Linked DNA regions of Mus musculus. The protein of the gene in region 4 purifies or fractionates together with the protein of the main gene of each other region. This does not show direct contact. Links are inferred from orthologs where the notes say so. Each region holds a gene or a part of one and is shown on either strand. Other genes may lie near its edges.

Evidence for each region.
Region 1: the proteins of Arid4b (region 4) and Sap130 fractionate together in Homo sapiens (co-fractionation; 4 studies listed by BioGRID, with this or other methods). This does not show direct contact. The link is inferred for Mus musculus from reciprocal best matches to the Homo sapiens genes ARID4B and SAP130.
Region 2: the proteins of Arid4b (region 4) and Suds3 purify together in Homo sapiens (affinity purification with western blotting; 3 studies listed by BioGRID, with this or other methods). This does not show direct contact. The link is inferred for Mus musculus from reciprocal best matches to the Homo sapiens genes ARID4B and SUDS3.
Region 3: the proteins of Arid4b (region 4) and Sin3a purify together in Homo sapiens (affinity purification with mass spectrometry; 5 studies listed by BioGRID, with this or other methods). This does not show direct contact. The link is inferred for Mus musculus from reciprocal best matches to the Homo sapiens genes ARID4B and SIN3A.

What each region holds. Positions count from the first base shown.
Region 1 is NC_000084.6:31,632,941-31,637,257, forward strand, and holds the start of Sap130 (histone deacetylase complex subunit SAP130), read left to right. Parts: upstream 1-1,427; 5' UTR 1,428-1,549; intron 1,550-2,092; exon of another isoform or gene 2,093-2,559; coding exon of another isoform or gene 2,560-2,613; intron 2,614-3,041; coding exon of another isoform or gene 3,042-3,047; coding exon 3,048-3,159; intron 3,160-4,317. UniProt on the Homo sapiens protein: Acts as a transcriptional repressor. May function in the assembly and/or enzymatic activity of the mSin3A corepressor complex or in mediating interactions between the complex and other regulatory complexes.
Region 2 is NC_000071.6:117,098,883-117,102,515, forward strand, and holds part of Suds3 (sin3 histone deacetylase corepressor complex component SDS3), read right to left. Parts: intron 1,814-3,633; coding exon 1,718-1,813; intron 657-1,717; coding exon 595-656; intron 441-594; coding exon 419-440; intron 1-418.
Region 3 is NC_000075.6:57,075,094-57,079,242, forward strand, and holds the start of Sin3a (paired amphipathic helix protein Sin3a), read left to right. Parts: upstream 1-1,282; 5' UTR 1,283-1,537; intron 1,538-4,149. UniProt on the Homo sapiens protein: Acts as a transcriptional repressor. Corepressor for REST. Interacts with MXI1 to repress MYC responsive genes and antagonize MYC oncogenic activities. Also interacts with MXD1-MAX heterodimers to repress transcription by tethering SIN3A to DNA.
Region 4 is NC_000079.6:14,062,198-14,066,593, forward strand, and holds the start of Arid4b (AT-rich interactive domain-containing protein 4B), read left to right. Parts: upstream 1-1,586; 5' UTR 1,587-1,835; intron 1,836-1,845; exon of another isoform or gene 1,846-2,401; intron 2,402-2,627; 5' UTR 2,628-2,676; coding exon 2,677-2,682; intron 2,683-4,396. UniProt on the Homo sapiens protein: Acts as a transcriptional repressor. May function in the assembly and/or enzymatic activity of the Sin3A corepressor complex or in mediating interactions between the complex and other regulatory complexes.

The DNA.
Region 1 (4,317 bases), on a different chromosome or scaffold from region 4:
TTGATTTGTTTTTTACTTTCATTACATATTTGTGTGCAAGCACCTTTGCTTGCTGAACTATCTCATCACCTCCTTGAGTATTAGTAACTTTATTTTATTTTTTTTAAGATTTTTTAAAATTTATTTTATTTATATAAGTACACTGTGGTTGTCTTCAGACACCAGAAGAGGGCATCGGATGCCATGACTGATGGTTGTGAGCCACTCACCATGTGGTTACTGGGAATTGAACTCAGGACCTTTGTAAGAGCAATCAGTACTCTTAACCACTGAGCCAACTCTCCAGCATCCCTCCCCCCAATTTAAATTTTTTTTTTTGTTTTTTGGATTTTTGTATTAATAACTTTAAAGGAGTAGTTTGAGACCGTGGCAGAACTCAGCAAGATGTGCACACTAGCCAGGGCCAATGGCACAAGCCTGCAATCCCAGTTACTCTGGAGCCTGGGACAGGGGGAATGCAAGCTCAAGGCCTGATAGGGCTACAGATTATGTTCAAGGCAGTCTGGCCAATTGAGTGAACACCAATGTCAAAAAATTTAAAAATTAACAAAAAGTATAATGTCAGAAATCACCTAAATAGAGAGCAGGCTGAAGTATGTCAGTTATTTAGAAACCAGAGAGTTAAAGGATGACGTGAGAAAAGAAAATAGCAAGAAGGAGGAGGGGCTCTTGAAACTCTGGTAGTCAGTTCTTCCCAAACAGTATGGCTTGTTACAAAGAATCTATTATGATCACAAAACTCTAGTTCTAAATGACCTTCTGGGAAGAGAGGTCCGTAATCTCTTAGCAGTCAAAAAATGTATAGCACCATCTCTGGCAAAGACATAAACTCTATAACTTCCACTACAGGCAAAACAGCACCCCACCTCTCTCTTTGTAATACGGAAGACTTGAGGGAGAGTAGAGCTGCCTTATCCAATTGTGTGCACTGAGCACGACCCAGGCGGGTGTTCGGCTCCAGCGGGGTCCAGCCACCCCAGGAATCCCTCCATGACAAGACCCAATCCTACGTGCAGCAAGGGGAGGAGACTCCATGAGGATACGGCGGGCTCTCGGGGCAGCCACAATCATCCTCCTTTACTCCTTACGCGTCCCACTGCCTCCATCACCGGGGTAAAATTCAACCGAGTGCTTTCCCGCTGAAGCGAAACCGTGGAATCCTTTATCGTGTCAGTCCCCAAAAGAAATGGCAGAACAGTCTTCAGACTTGACTGCGAAGAACAGTGAAGCCCGCGTCCAGTCGCCCAGGCCCCGCCCTCTTAGGGCTGGGGACTACATTTCCTAGAGGCCTCTTCGGCTCCAAGAGGCGGGACCGACTGTTGTCCTGTTCCCTGCAGGCGAGGACTGGCTGCCTGAGCGAGGGGCGGGGTTTGTCGTAGCCAGTAAGCGAAAGTCTCGTTACGGCGGCGGAAGCAGCCAAGCTGGAGTGAGGGGTGGGGGACAGAGTGCTAGCGGCCGGGCTGCGGCTGCGGGTCCGGAGCCCGAGGACATTAGCCCTAAAGACGGAGAGCACACAAGAGCAAGCTCTAGACGGCGTGGCCGCGCCCAGGTAATGGCGGAACGAGAGCCGGGAGGGAGAGGAGTAGTCGAGGGGGCGGGACTGCCTAGGCAGTCCTGGTGCTCGTCCCTGGGGAAGGACAGAGCCGCCACAGCTCTTGCGGTCCTCATTCCAGCTCTTTAGCAAGCTAGGCAGAGCAGTTAAGTCTGCGGCAGGGTCCGGATGATCGGTGGGAAGGAGGACAAGAAACACCGAGGGGTGGGCAGCTCCGGGCGTGGGGGCGTGGCGGACGCGGGCCTCCGCAGGGAAGTCAGCGGGAAGGAGGACGGCCTAGGGAGTTTGGCTTCTGGAGCAGTTTAAAGTGACTCTCCACATCCGGGCCCTGCGCCCGCCGCTTTCAGACCCTTGCTGGGGCGGGGCCTCCCGGATCCCCGCCCTTCTTGCCAGGGATCGCCTATCTCTCCCTTCTATTGGCCCAGCCCCGGAGTTTAGACTGCTCCCCGCCCCCAGAGAGACTGGCGTCTTATTGGCTGGCGGCCGGCGGGAGGGCGGGGCGGGCCCAGAACGCGCAGGCAACTGCGGATTGGTGCTGGATACAGTGACGCACCCCGCGTCTAGCCAATGAGCGGGCGGGGGAGGCAGGGGTAGGTTGGGTGGTAAGAGGTGGTAAGCGGAGCGGCTGCTGGCCGTAGGGTGAGTGTGGCTGGCGGGCGGGCTGAACTGAGGCGGGCCGGGGACGCGTTCCGAATTGCGTTCCCTCCGTGCCTGCAGAGCCCCTCGAGCCCTTCGTGGCGGCTGCATATAAAAGGGCACACTGCTTATCTTGCCGAGAGGACTCCGTAGGACGTTTTCTCCGGGAGACAGAGCTTCGACACCCGGGGTGTCTGGAAACGTGTGTCCTGGGATCTCGGAGGGGAAATGGGGATAACTGGGGTAGACCGGAGATAAGCGAAGCCTGAGGGGGAAGACAATTTTAGAGACCGTGGTTCTCGAATCCTACCCGTGTCTCGGGTTGGGGGGTGGGGGGATTATCCGTGATGAGGAAGAAAGGAAATCCTTAAATGGAGGCCTTTACGGAAAAGCGTTTGAGGATTCCACAAGCATCGGGTCTTAATGTAAGATTTTTCAATCCTTTCTTGGGGCTGGACATTATGACATACTAATTATGGTTCTATTTACCTTGGTGTGAGGCTTGAGTATTTAAAGGAGCCATACTATTTTCCATAAAAATTTTACACAGCCTATGATTATGGTACTACCATTTGGCGGCTATATAACATTCCATGCTTCTTTTTTTTTTTAATCCATAAGTATTTTGGAAGCTTATAGTAGCCTCCAACATTTGTATAAAGTCTGTCATTATTAATTTAGCCTTAGAATGTAAAAAAACCCTCAATAGATGTCTGTGCCATTGATCATAACTTTTAAATAAATGAAGCTGCATATGTTTTCCTGAGAGGTCACGGGTACTAAAGATGCTTTGATCTCTCGATGTCGGTTCTAATTTCAGAATCTGGTAATCGTGGCCTGACTTGTTTTGCAGGTGGAAATGAGTTCCCAGCAGTTTCCTCGGTTAGGAACCCCTTCCCCTGGGCTTAGCCAGCCACCTTCACAGATTGCAAGCAGTGGTTCCGCAGGACTGATAAACCAAGTTGCCACAGGTAAGATAAGTCACAGCTCTTTTGTATTGCTTACTGTTTGAAGAATGTCACTATCTTCAAATTAGCAAACTCCTTTTCATAATTACTGTCTTATCGACTTTGAGGAAAGGATGTGTCAATACACTTAAAATAAGGCATTTCCCTCTCTTTTTTAAAAAATCATTTATGTATGCTAGGCTAAGTGCAACTTTAGTAAACCATACTTGTAAGAACCATTTTTAAAAGTATTTGTATGTTAGATTTAATTCTCTCTTGGGGTATAGGTATGGTGGTGGTGCCCTGAGAAAACCCAGCAGTGAATGTGAAGAAGTTCTGCTTCTAAGGACCTTCTTAGGACCTTAAGATTAGGAAAAGAGAGGCAGAGTATGTGAGAGAGAGTTTTTAAGAGTGTGTTTTTGAGGTCATGTGTGCTTTGAAAGGTGAGAGGTCAGCCTCAAATGCGCTTCCTAGGAACTGTCCTTGGTTTTTGATACAGGGTGGCTCACTGGGACTGGAACTGAGGAAGCTAGGCTGACGAGCACACGATTGAATGAGCTGCTGCCCCGGCCCTTGAAAAAGGGTTGCAAAGTATTTATATACTTGGTTTTTATTTGTAGCATATCTTTTGAGTGCTATAGACTGTGATTCTCAGTGGTGGGTTGGGCGATATTCTATACTAATTGGCAATGTCTAGAGACAGTTGTGATTGTCACAACTGAAGTACTGGACATCCTAAATGCACTAGATAAACCCCTTCCACCCTCCAAGACTTCTCAAAGCCAGTGAGCAGTTTTCAGACTTTGTCTCCACTCTGTATTAAGTATATATTGCGAGCTGAAGTGAAGTCACCTTTTCCCCATCTGTTTCTTGTTTCCTGGTGGCAAGTGCTGCTTTTCACTCACTGCTCAAGCTAAAGGCTGAGGTGTCTCTAGTTGTCATTGTATTCTGTCTCTCACTCCACCCCACCACCTTGGCTCACAATGTAGCTCAGGCTGGCCTCAAGACAGTTCGGGGTCACCTTTGTCCCACCATGCCTGGCTGGCTTTATCCACCAGCAAGCTTTTGGGCTCATTCCTGCTGCTTTGACTAGTTCGTGCTAATTTAGTTTTTAACTACAGATTTGTTTGTTACTGTAAGCTACTCTATGCCTGCTGTGGGACAGTGTGTACTGTTTTTTCT
Region 2 (3,633 bases), on a different chromosome or scaffold from region 4:
AGCCTGGGCCTCCCTAGGACCCGAGCACCACAGACAGCTACATACGCCTTGTCTCCTAACGAGGACGAGGACAGCCTGGGCCTCCCTAGGACCCGAGCACCACAGTCAGCACTGCAGGGTCTGAGCTCCAGACAAAGTTCCCCATGGTTGCATGACTGGAACTGAAAACGGTCCTGAACCTAAGGCCCACCCGACACCCACTCAGAAGGGAACCCTTCAAGAGCCAATCAAAGGTCTCCTCTATAGTAAGTCCTAAGGAAAAGACAAACAGCACAGCTGGCTTTAAAGAAACAACACGGGAGAGACATGTTTATGATTCCTGCCCTTTTCACGACTCAGCATAATTCACTCCTGGAAACCCCACCTCCACTTTTCCAATGACAGGGTACAAAGACTGGCAGTGTCATCGGGCACTCACCTGGTCTCTTGGGTGACTTAAGCTGTAGGAAGAATAACAACAAGAAAGTCTCAGAGAAAATCATCTTAGAAGCAACATAAAGCATCAGAGATGTCATGGTGACTTTAGCAGGTGACAGGAACTTACGTCACAAAACACGTGAGCCTTTCAAGTACAGCAAAAGCGTCCCACCCTACCTTGTTCAGCGTCCTCAGGTCCTCCATGATCTGCTCGTCTGTTAGCAAGTAGTTCAGCTGAGGTGCCGAGAGTTAAAGAACTCGTGGGAAATGCATGGCTTCCAAGGAGACAGAGGCACCCAGGGACCCCAGTGCTTTGGGACTGGGGAGGCCTGGGCTACAGAAAGGCTGTTTTCAAGGTAAGACCTTGCCTCTTTAAAAAACTGACTCTCATGCTAAAAGTCACCAGGCACAGACGAGAACTCCACGCACCCCTCGTACACACTGCTCTGAGGGGAAGAGATGCTGCTACTCAACAGATGTCGCAGGGGTGGGAACACAGCACAGCAAGGTGACAATCTCATCTAAGGGAGAAAAACACTGCTACTCCCAAGTTTGAAGCTTTCCAGACAGACACGGAAAGGCTACTCTCACAGTGGCTTAGATCACGCTGTGAAGGGGAGAGGCCTGGAGCAGCACCCTCTGCTGGTTGCACAGTACAGCCCACGCTGGGCAAACTGCTACACTAAATCTCCCAAAGAGAGTGCTCCACGTTGGCCCACTGGCCACGTCCGTGGCTATATAGCATCTTCCATGAACACCGGACCTACTTGTGGTACAGTTCACGACCCACTAGTGTAAAGGCAGGTGACCGGTAGACTACGCATGGCAGTACACAACCTACCAGTGTAGAGAGAAGCATACAACTGGTACACTACAGCAGTCCACAACCCAGAAGCAGATAACTGGTGGGCCAGGGCAGTCTGCAGCCCAGTACTGTAGTCAGATAACCGGTGGGCTAGGGCAGTCTGCAGCCCAAGAGGCAGAGGTGGGTACCTGGGACCACAGCAGGCAGTGCTGCCCTCAATTTACACATTTCACTGTAAGCTGCTTAAAGGGAGTGTAAGAACAAGGCTGTTTCCAAAAGAGCACCTTTCTAAGTAACCATTTTCTGGAAACCTCTCCAACGAAAAGCAATAGTTGACTCCAGTGCTGTCTGGAGTCAACCCCACCTGTAGGTAAGTATCTCACATATGCTTTCCCGACCTGGACTGCCGCTGGCTCGTGAGACTGTGACCCTGCATACACTACTACACACACTAAGCATAGGAGTTCATGACTCAAGCTTGGTACAAATGGATATCAGGAGCCGGTTTTCTCCTCTTGTCTGGAATGGGGACAGGATCGTTTGGTCGCCTCCGCAATTTTCTGGTCATGATGGGTTTCACTTCCATAGAATCTGTGGCAAGAATGGAAGGGGTGAGTCTATCCACCTGTCCCTGGAGCCAGCAGGGGTCCCTGCAGCATCAGAACATCCATCCCACAGACATCCCACTGCAGCTATGTGACCAAGCACACTTAGTCTATGCATGAGCCCAGCCACACTCCCGTGGCAGGCTGCAAGCCCTGTGCTTACCGGAGTCAGCCAGCTGAGCACCCAGTCACAGGCTAGGAGACTGAAAAGAGCCTGGGATCAGGCAGGTACCTCATGTCTGCTGCTCCCACAGAGGCTGCGTGCTGAAGACCATGGACATAGAAAGCCCTTTTTCAAGGCCACTGACCCCAGCCAAGGTTTGTATATGAAGTCTTTGCTTACACACTCCCAGTTTTCTTCTATATAACCCTTTGTAGCTACCAGAGGGCAAGACCGATACAGCAGATGGGGAACAGGGCCGCCTTTCACTCTGGACTTCTCTGGGGCTTTAGAGGACGGACTCCACACAGGGAAATGTCTCCTCCCCAGAAGCAGCCACTCAGATCTGCTCTCCCCAGGGGGATGGGCTGGCGTGGCACCTGAGTCTGAACCTGCTAAAACTAGCAAGAGCTTCAAACAACAGCTTCCTAGGAGTCTGGTCAGTGAGCCCGAGAGTTCAACTAGGGCAAGCACAAAATCAAACTCCCAGGTCTGAAGCCCAGACCCTGGAGTGTGACAACTGGAGAAGACATCTGGGCAGGACACGCCTCAGTCATGTAACCTCCAAACAGTTAACTGCCTTGCATTAGAAGCCTCCCTGGCTTCTGTGAGACAGGCACTACCTGGAGTTGCACGGGGCCTGCTGCCTCACTCACTTCCTGCCCCTCCCCAGGGGCAGTTCCAGCTTCCCTTTAGCGAATGTTAACCATAAAGCAAGCTCGCCCATCTCCCTCCTAAGCAGAATCTAAGGGAGTGAGCTAACCCCAAAGCAGAGGCAGGAACCCTGGCTGAGCAGAGGCTGGGAGACAGAGGTCACTATGAGGTTCCATCCTGATGAGGGGAGAGCCCACCGTCCTCTTGCACAGCGCTGACTATAGTTAACTAGGTAGGTAACATTGAGCATTTCAGGACAGTCTCTGGATCCTGAGATTGTCAGTGTTTCCACTAGGAAACGGCGGCTAAAGTGGGGAGACGTATCAGTTGGTGAGGGATGCGACCTAGCGGTAGAGCACTTGCCTGGCATCATGAGGCCCTGGGTTCTACCCCCAGTTCTTGAGATGAAGAACTTACTATTTGTTTAGCGACTTGGGTAAAATAACAACAATGATTTGAAGCACACACTTCATTTGAGGCTTGCAGCAGACAGAGTGCGCGAGACAGGGCCCCACAGGACACACAGCCTCATCCATCTCCAGCAGACTAGCAGGCTCACCCATGCTGTCACACGTCACAGCAGCAGGGGTGAGCACATGGAGAGGGGGCAGGGAATGAAGTCTGCATCAGGTGTTTGGAGGGCAAAGCATGCTTGGAACAAAGGGACCAAGCTCCAAGACACCCAGGTCGCCCCGGGCAAAGGGCTGACATTGAGATGGAGCCCACCCGCCCCAGGTCAGGTCACCACATCACCCCCTACCTCACCCCCCACAGATCTTTCTATGCATCTTTCCCTGACTCCTAAAGCCCCTTCCACTGGAGCATCAGGCACTGCCCGATACAGCCACACTACAACGAGCCTGTCTCATCTTTACCTCTCCTTCCTTAAACCTGGAAGGTCTGGGAACTCCCCAATACTGTCTCCAGCCAGCAACCCGACCTCCCCAACTCAGTGGAGTGGAAGGAGCCAGTCTAATGCAATTAGAACAGAC
Region 3 (4,149 bases), on a different chromosome or scaffold from region 4:
ATTCAGACTATTCCTGCCCTTTCGCGAATGGTTGCGATTACAGCCCTTCCCCTTGAACAGTCATTCTTAAGACCATATCCTTCACACAATCTGGAATTTTTACTCCTTCTGTGAACGTAAGTGCACACTCAAGGTTTATTTATGCAGTGGTCTGTGTGAGGTTTTCAGCCTCTCTTCCTCCAGTTTAAAATGTCCCTGGATCTACCCGACCAATAGAGTATACATTTTCCCTTCATGCTCCGCCTTCCGGAGGCTTGCCCAGGCGGTGACATTTAAAGGCCTCCGCTGGGTTATCTCCGCCCCCTGAGGGCTGCAGATTCTGGTTGTCCCAGTGTCACAGTATTCAGTCAGCCCTAGTGACCAGCTAGTAATATCTGGGCTTTTGGATCAGATTAGAGCTCCAGACCTTAATTTTGGAGTCGGCTTGCTGAAAGTAGCTGCTGAGTGCTCCAGATGGCTGTGTTTAGAAGACCGTGAAAGTGTAAAAATAAGTGGGTAGGAAGGACAAGGCTTTCTGTCATTGTTTTGGTTAATTCTCCACGGCGGGTAATACTACTGCCTTTTCCTTTTCAAATCTCAAAGCCTCGGGTTTCGGCCGCTGAGCTCCCCGCCATCTCCGATCCCGGCCTTGGAACGCTGAGGTTCAGTCTCCAGTGTAAACATTCCACAAAAGGACTGCTAAGGTTCAGCATCCTCGCGCAGGGCGGAATGGTCTCCTTCCTGGACCGGCGCCGTGTCCAATGGCGGCTCCTACCGGCGCCAAGATAGTCCAATCAGATCATTGGGGGCGGGGCCTGGCCCAGCCGTGTAGTGGGTGGAGTCGGCCTCACTTAAGGACATTTTTACCCCACATTGGTTACTTACCTTCCTGGGGCTATGAGAGAAGCAAAGGTAGTCTTCCAATGCAGGGACCGGCGGAGGCGGGAGCCGATTTGTTAGGCCTGTGGCTGGGGCGGTATGGGGAGGGATATGTGAGACTCTCCAATGAGATGTGAAGAGGTACTCCTCTTCCTCCAATAGTATTAGAGCCCGGAGGAGGGATTCGGCAATCAGTCTCCAATAGGCGGGGTTGAGTTAGGGACTCTCCCCGCCAATAGGGGCGTGGAGAAGGTGAGCGGCTCGCTCTCCCCTCCCAGCGAGGGAAGAGGGCGGGAGTAGGTCTTTGCGGCATAGTGATTGGCTAAACCATTGACGGATGGGTAATATATCCCGTGGCGGAGCGAGGTTAAGCCTTCCCTCGGCGGGGCGGGCCGGGAGAGTGGGCGGGATTTCCCGGGTAACAGAGAAGCGGCCGCGGCGGTAGAGGCGGCAGAGACGGTTTCTCCATCTTCCCCCCTCCCCTTCCCCCCTTAGAGTTTCCCTCCCTCCCTCCCTCCTTCCCAGTCTGGGCACCCAGGCCTGTGACCGCTTCGTGGGCGCAAAGGAGGTTGCCAGTCCGCTCTTGCGGGCCTGTGCCCGCGCCGTTCCGGGGCCTCCGTGCTGGGTGCGAGGCTCACGCCGGGAGCGACGCACAGGCTGAGTGGCTGGAGCTTTTGCGGTGAGAGCACGCCGCACCGCGGTCCGCCCAGCAGCTGGGTGGCGGGTAACCCGGGACTGGAGGGCGTGTGTTTTTCGGGGGGGCTGACCTCGGCTTCCCGTGCGTGGCTGTGGGGGGCGGAGCGGAGCCGCACTCAGTGCGGGAGGGGGAGGAGAGCGTAGTCCCGGTGCGCACGGAGGGGCGGGTCCTAGTCCCGCCGATCAGAGGCGGGGCCGGCGCGCGTGCGGTGGTGGAGAAAGGGGCGGGACGGGCTCGCGCTAAAGGCCCGCGGCTGTGACCCCGCCCCTTCTCCCTTATGGGCGGGACCACTGGCTGAACTGCTTTGGGTCCGCGGGGCGTGCGGGACGGGAAGAGGGTCCCGGCGTGTGGCTTTCAGGGCGCGGTGGCGAGGGGGCGTGAAGCCTGTGTTCCCCCGCCTTAGCGGGATCCGGTTGGCCGGAAGGCGCGTCCGGGGCTGTGATGCCACGCCCCTCCCGCCCCGCCCCCTCCGGGATTTCCGCCTCCTTAGCAGTGAAGAGGAGCTGGGGAAAGCCCGCTGTGGCGTCTGGCAGGGGGTCAGGGCTCCGTGTCTGCTCCTCCCAGCATCCCCGTGGGTGGGAGGGCCCCTTGTAGACTGGGAACGGTGGAGGTGTCCGGACTTTATGCTGTGGCTTCTTCATCCATTCTGCTTGGGGCATCGTGGCCCGTAGCTGTAGTCTTCTACTTTGCTTCACACACCATGGATGGCGCCTTAACAGCTAGGGAGAGTAGAAGCGTGGTCAGCTGCTCCTCTTCGTTGTAATTATTGGGACGAGATACTCAGCGTCCTCTCTGGAGTGTCTGCGGTGGGGTGCGGCTGGTGCTGTGCCCTTGCTTCCCCGACAGTGGCCGGTGGGGGAGGGGCAGAGTGATCAGGGACTGGAATTGTGGAGGGCGCCAACCTTCCCTGGAGTTCCCTTGATGTTCAGCTACTGCGCCTTTACGGGTTGATACCTAAAAATTGCTACCATTTTTGGTAGCTTAGGACTTTAAACTCAGTTTACCATTTGAGCTCCTAACAAATCTGAGATTTTATTTCTAGAGAAAGTATTGAATTTATGATTGTAAGTGATGGAGTGAGTTTAGGGCACATAAGCATTGCTTCACCGCTAGGCTATACCCCAAGGCTAAATTTTTTTTTTTTAAGTCAAAGATTTAACTCTCTTTAAGTAAAATACTCTGATTTCTTGACTGATTTCACCTACAGAAGGTTTTGTTACATAAGCTTAGTTTCACAAAGGTAACTTAGAATTTTGTGTTCTCTTTTGGTTTTATGTAACTTCTAGTCCTTAAAGCTTCATGTTGCTCTTTTTAGATACTAAGTAGGTTGAACTGTATGAAACCTATGTGTAGCATAGCTTACCGGCCTGTGTTAGAGAGTTACTTTGGCCATTGTTGGTTTACTGCACATGTAACCATATTAGATGATCTTACTCGAGAACTTCATGAAAAGTGAACATCGAATTCTTAATTTATGTATTGATATCTGAGTATGTGTAAACCACTTTTAAAAAAGATTTATGTTAAAGTGTGTGTGTGTGGGGGGGGGCAGAATAGGATGTTAGATCTCCTGTAGGTGGAGATAACAGGTGGTTCTGAGCCACCTGACATGGAACCCAACTTAGGTCCTTTTACAGGAGCAGTCTGCACTGAGCCATCTCTCTAATCTCATAGTCATGTGTAATTTCTGAAGCTAAATTCTGGATTTGTTCTTTGTTCAGTAGAGGCTGAAAACTGTGCCCTGTGCTGTACTTAATGAAGAGGTTAAATATTCACTTTTCAGCTAAAGAAGTGACACCAGCCATGGTAACAGAATGGAGGTGGAGCCCAAAAGATAAGGACTTGGATGTACTACAGATGGAGTACACTTAAAACGCTAGAAGAGAATTCTTTGGCTTTGAGGAAAGTTTGACCAACCCATAGTTAATTTTACCAATTGAAGTACAGTTTGGAAAATCAGATGACTTAATTCATACCTTTTTTTTTTTTTCTTGTTTTTGAAACAAAGTTTAGCCCTGGGTGTCCTAGAGTTCACCCTGTAGTCTAGGCTGGACTCAGACTAAGAGACCTGCTTGCCTCTGCCCCCCAAACACTAGGATTAAAGGCATGTGCCACCACTGCTGAGCATAATTCTTATGTTTATAGAATGTGTATAATAGGTTGTGTACTGGAGTCACAAGTCCTAGGCTTTGAAATTTCAAGAACCTTGTTTTTGCTTGTTTTTTTTCTCCTATCCATCAGTATACGTTTGTTATTTTTGCATACTAGCATTTAGGAGGCTAAGCAGACTAAGTGGTGAAGAGTGAGTATTACTCTAAGAAAACCTGAGTTCAGTTTTCAGCAACCATGTCAACCTGTATCTCAGGCTCCAAGTACTGACACCTCCGGCCTCTAGGACACAGACACGGGTGCACACCCCCACATCCATACACACAGTGAAAAATAACAGAAATACAGCTTTGAAAAATAAACTGTTAATACTTTTAAATTCAGGCCTTAAGTCGTGTGCATAAGGAAGTTTTTTCTTTTTTTAAGACTTGAGATTGGTATTTGACAAGATTCCTGGTAAAGCACAGCCATCTTGACAGTGCAGC
Region 4 (4,396 bases):
TGTAGAAATGCAATTGTAGCTGCCTCTCTAATTGTCCTCTATATACTTTTTTCTTGAGACAGGGTCTATGTGGCCTAAGCTAGCCTGGAACTCATACTGTAGATCAGGCTGGTCTTAGCACTTGTCACCACCACAATGCTAAGCATTTCCTCTTCTTTTGGGTGCGTTATCATTTTAGCAATTCAAGTTAGGAATCCAAGATATCCTATTGTTCACTGGGCCATTGGACCAGATAAAAACTGTTTTTAATTTTTTTTTTTTTCCTTTTTTGAAGACAGGGTCATCCTGTTTCAGTCTCCAGGGTACTGGATCAAAATTCCTACCTCACCTCTCTGGGCCTCAGTTCTTCCTACTGGGAAGTCTTTTTCCTGAAACAGGTTTCCTTTCCTTTAGGGACTTCCCTTAGTAACTCTGGCTGGCTTCTTGAGTCAAGCTTAGTTCTCACACTCTCAGGAAAACCTTTCTATACCTCTCGAAGCCAAAGGTCCTCCTATCAGGTTTCATTTTGACTAGACTTCCGTTCAGGAAGTTATACATCCCCTCTTTCCACATGAGGACTTCTAACATCTCAGAGGGTGAACTCTGAGCATCAAACATTCATACAATATTGAAAATTTCATGCAAAGTATCTCTCTCTCTTTTTAAAATAGGCCGGCTCTGGCTTGAGACTAGCGACACAGATATGGGTCACCGAGCTCAGCTGTTAGGCGCATAGCAAGAACCTTTGACTCCAAGCCCCGGGGGGCGATGGCTCTGAAGGAAAAGAAAGGGCTCCACACAGGCATAGCTGTAATAAGCTCGCAGGCGGGCTTCTTCCCTGCGCTGCACCGGTGGCCCTTCCACTCTTTCCGAGCTCCTCTGCCTCCCCTCATCCCAGCACCCGGCCGGCAGTCACTCCGAGCCGGGTCAGCATCCGGGTCCTCTCTCCCTCCTTACTGCTTCCTCCTCCGTACCGCCCCCTCCCCCGCTCCCCATCCGGGTCCCCCCTGCCACCGCGCTGTTGCTCACGGTTCCACGATGATCTCAGACTTGAAGCCGCCGCCGGTACGAGACTAGCAGTGCCCACATCGACTTCTCAATTTATTGTTCTGACTGCGGCTCTTCAAGAGGCTTCCTTGGAGCCCTCCCACTATTTCACACAGAAATCTCTGCCCTCCTCAGCGGCCAGCGACGCCGCAGCACTCAGTGCAAGAAAATACGCCATCCCTATCACACTGCGCAGGCGTCGTATGCCACCTCCCCTCTGCCTCATGGCCGCGCCTCCTTCCCCTCCCCTCTCTCGTCGAACGCAGGCAAGTGGGCATTGCGGTCTTGGTAGTTCTAATGTCCGTCAGTTTACCGATTGGCCTAGAAGACTGGACTACAATTCCCAGAAAGTATTGAGGGATAACTTTCTGTTTCCATAGAACTGGTGGGTAAATGGCGTCGTTGTTTGCATCGCTCAAACCAATAGAAACTTGGAAGAGGCGGGCTCCAAAGAATCCTACCCAATCCTAGGTCGTCTGAGAGGCATCCGGGAAAGAGGTAGGGGAGGGGCAAAGGGCCGAGGGGAGGGGAGAAGGGGCAGGGGGGCCAGAGAGGGGGGAAAGCGATGTTTGCCCGTCAGTCGAGTCCGGAGTGAGGAGCTCGGGCGCTGGAGCGGAGGGAGAGTCTCGAGCCGCAGTTTGCCGCCGCGACGGCCACCGCCTGGACTTCTGCCCGGAGGGAGCCGCTGAAGGTCGGCCGCCGTGTTCCTCTGGAGGGCTGTGAGACCGGGGCCCGGACCTCCGTCCGAGAGGGATTTTTTTGTCGCCCCCCTCCCCCCGCGAGGGAGCCGGAGCGGCCGCCAAACAAAGGTACCAGTCGCCGCCACGGGAGGAGGAGGAGTCGGAGCCGGAGTCCCGGCCGCCGGCGGACCCGCAGCTCCTTCGCTCTCTCTCCCCACAGGCCTGCTGGTGTTGGGGGTGGGGGGAGGCGGATCAGGGGGCTCTGGCCGCAGGGCTCAGACCTCGTCTGTGCCCGAGGTAGGGACATTCTTTTCTATGGGGGAAGCTCCGGGCCGGGCCGCGCATCGGGGCAGATGGCAACGGGGCTGAGTCGGCGCTCGCAGCGGGGCCTCGGCCTCCTGGGACCCCCGCCCCCCGCCGCGCCGAGCCGGAGCCGCCCTACCCGGGCCGCACCGTGGGCCCGGCGGCCTCGGGCCGCCGTGCTGGGAGCTGGATGTCCTCGGTGCCCGGTCCCGGCTCCCACTTGTGGGCCTTGGCTCGGGCGGGACGCGGGCGGACGCTGTGGGGCCGAGCCTCCGCAGCCCAAGGGCCCGCCGGTTCACCGAGGGCTCAGTCCGGGGGCTCCGGGCATCGCGGTTCCGTAGGCTTGGACGGTCGCAGCCGCGCTTCAGGCCGCGCCGGACCCTGGGCTTGTTGTGAGTTTTCTTCTGACAGAAATGGCGTCATCGTGGAGGACGGGGGAAAAGTCCGTGGAGTCGCGACAATGGGGCGGCGGGCGGTGGGGGCGGTAGGGGCGGTGGGATGGCGCGTGCCTGCTCGGGGCTCCTGGCCCCGCTCGGTGCCGCCCCCGCCCCTACGGCCTGGGGCGGGGGTGGTGGTGGTGCCGGTGGTGCTGACCCGGTGTCTTTGTTTCCCCTCCAGGTGCAGGTGAAGCTGGTGTCGCCGTGGGGATCGCGGCCCCAGAGTCACCATGAAGGTAAGGCGTCACTTAGCCAGTTTGAGTGGCTTTCGAATTCAGGAAGTGTCGGGGCTGTAGCAGGCCTGCGAGTTTTGCAGAGGCAGGTGTGTGTGTGTGTGTGTGTGTGTGTGTGTGTGGAGTGGCTCGGTGTGGAGCTTTCCCTGACAGGGTCAGCTGGAGCGAACATCCACAGGCTGTGTGTTTCGAAGTTATGGAGTCAGTTAGGAGATAACCTCACCCAAGCTGTTCAGGTTTCCCAAACAGAACAGCACCTTTTGCATGGAGCCGAAGGAACAACTGCACACATTAAAGCGTCTTAAATCGTAAAACGGAAAGCTGGTCTAGTAACCTGAATATTGAAACTGTAGTGGGTCTCTCTCTCTGTTCAATGATGAAAGGAAATGTCATTTGATTATGTGACCGGGACCGTAAATTTTAAGCAGAAAGCAAAATACTGAAGATGTTTAAAGCAGTTTGGTGCTCCTTCCCTAAAGAAACCCGAGTTGGCCTGCTGTGCCTTGTATTTCTAGGGACTTAGGTTTCTGTATGGTTTCTTTTTCTCACTGTTGGTGTACTGATCTTGGAGTTGACTCTTTTAAGATATGTTGTGTGTAATGGGCAGGTTGTACTGAAGTAAACATGTTGACCACAGAATAGCTTCTAAGAAATGTGTCTAAGAAGTAGTCTGTGTATTGATGGAATAAATCACAGCTGTTTTAGTTTTTTTTTTTTTTTCATATTGGTATGAAAAGCTTTAGGTATCTGAAAATATCTAGATTTAACTGTTGGAACTTTGATACTGGAAAATTTTTCTTTAAAATCTACTACAAATTCAGATATGCTTGGAAAGCGTGTGTATTGAAGTGTTAGAATGTAAATGACATCTACTTTTGACAGTTCTTTTGGGATTCTTTTTTTTTTTTAATTTAATTAATTTTTTTTTAAATTTTAATTAATCCAGTGAGGATTGCTTTTGTAGGACTGCATCCAGGTACAGTTTCAAAAGCTTCTGTTTGTAGACTACAAATGCTGTTGCCACTTTGTGTTTGTCTCTTGTACAAAGCAGTTTAGACCCTTTTAAAGGTTTTTTTTTTTTTTTTTTTTTTTTTTTTTTTTTTTTTTTTCCTCTTTTTGAGTTTGGGGCTCTGTAGAGGCTTGGCTTTTATTTTCTAAGTTCCTGTCTTTCATATGAATGAAAATGTAACCAGTGTTGTATGAGAGGTGGAACCTTTTTGTTTGTCACAGATGTACAACCTGTATGAAATAGTGAAAAGTGAGTGTCTTAGGGCAAAGTGAAGTTTTTAGGGAAAGCATATATCTGTCTTGTTGTTGGGTATGACTGGAGGAAAGCTTTAGGTTAACTGATAAATGTATACTGCACAATACATTTGGAAGCTGAATACATTTGGAATAAATGTTGTAATCTGTTAGTTCCTGTTGTGATGTCTGGCACATCTTAAATTCTCAGTAAATGTTTGTCTGAAAGGGAGGTACTGAGTTGAAGATGTCAATATGTTTTTGTTTTTCTTAATTTTCATTTTCTGTGTAAAAAAAACTTTTCTTTTTGAAGAGAAAAAAAGGAAGGAAGGAAGTAGGTAGGTAAGTCAGGTGTGAGGGTGCGTGACTGTTTCCACTTCCCATTGGTGGAAGGAGGATCAGTAGTTCAAGGACAGCCTGGGTTAGAGGCTAGCCTGGTCTACATATTGAGTTGGAGGGCAACAAGTCTACAGGA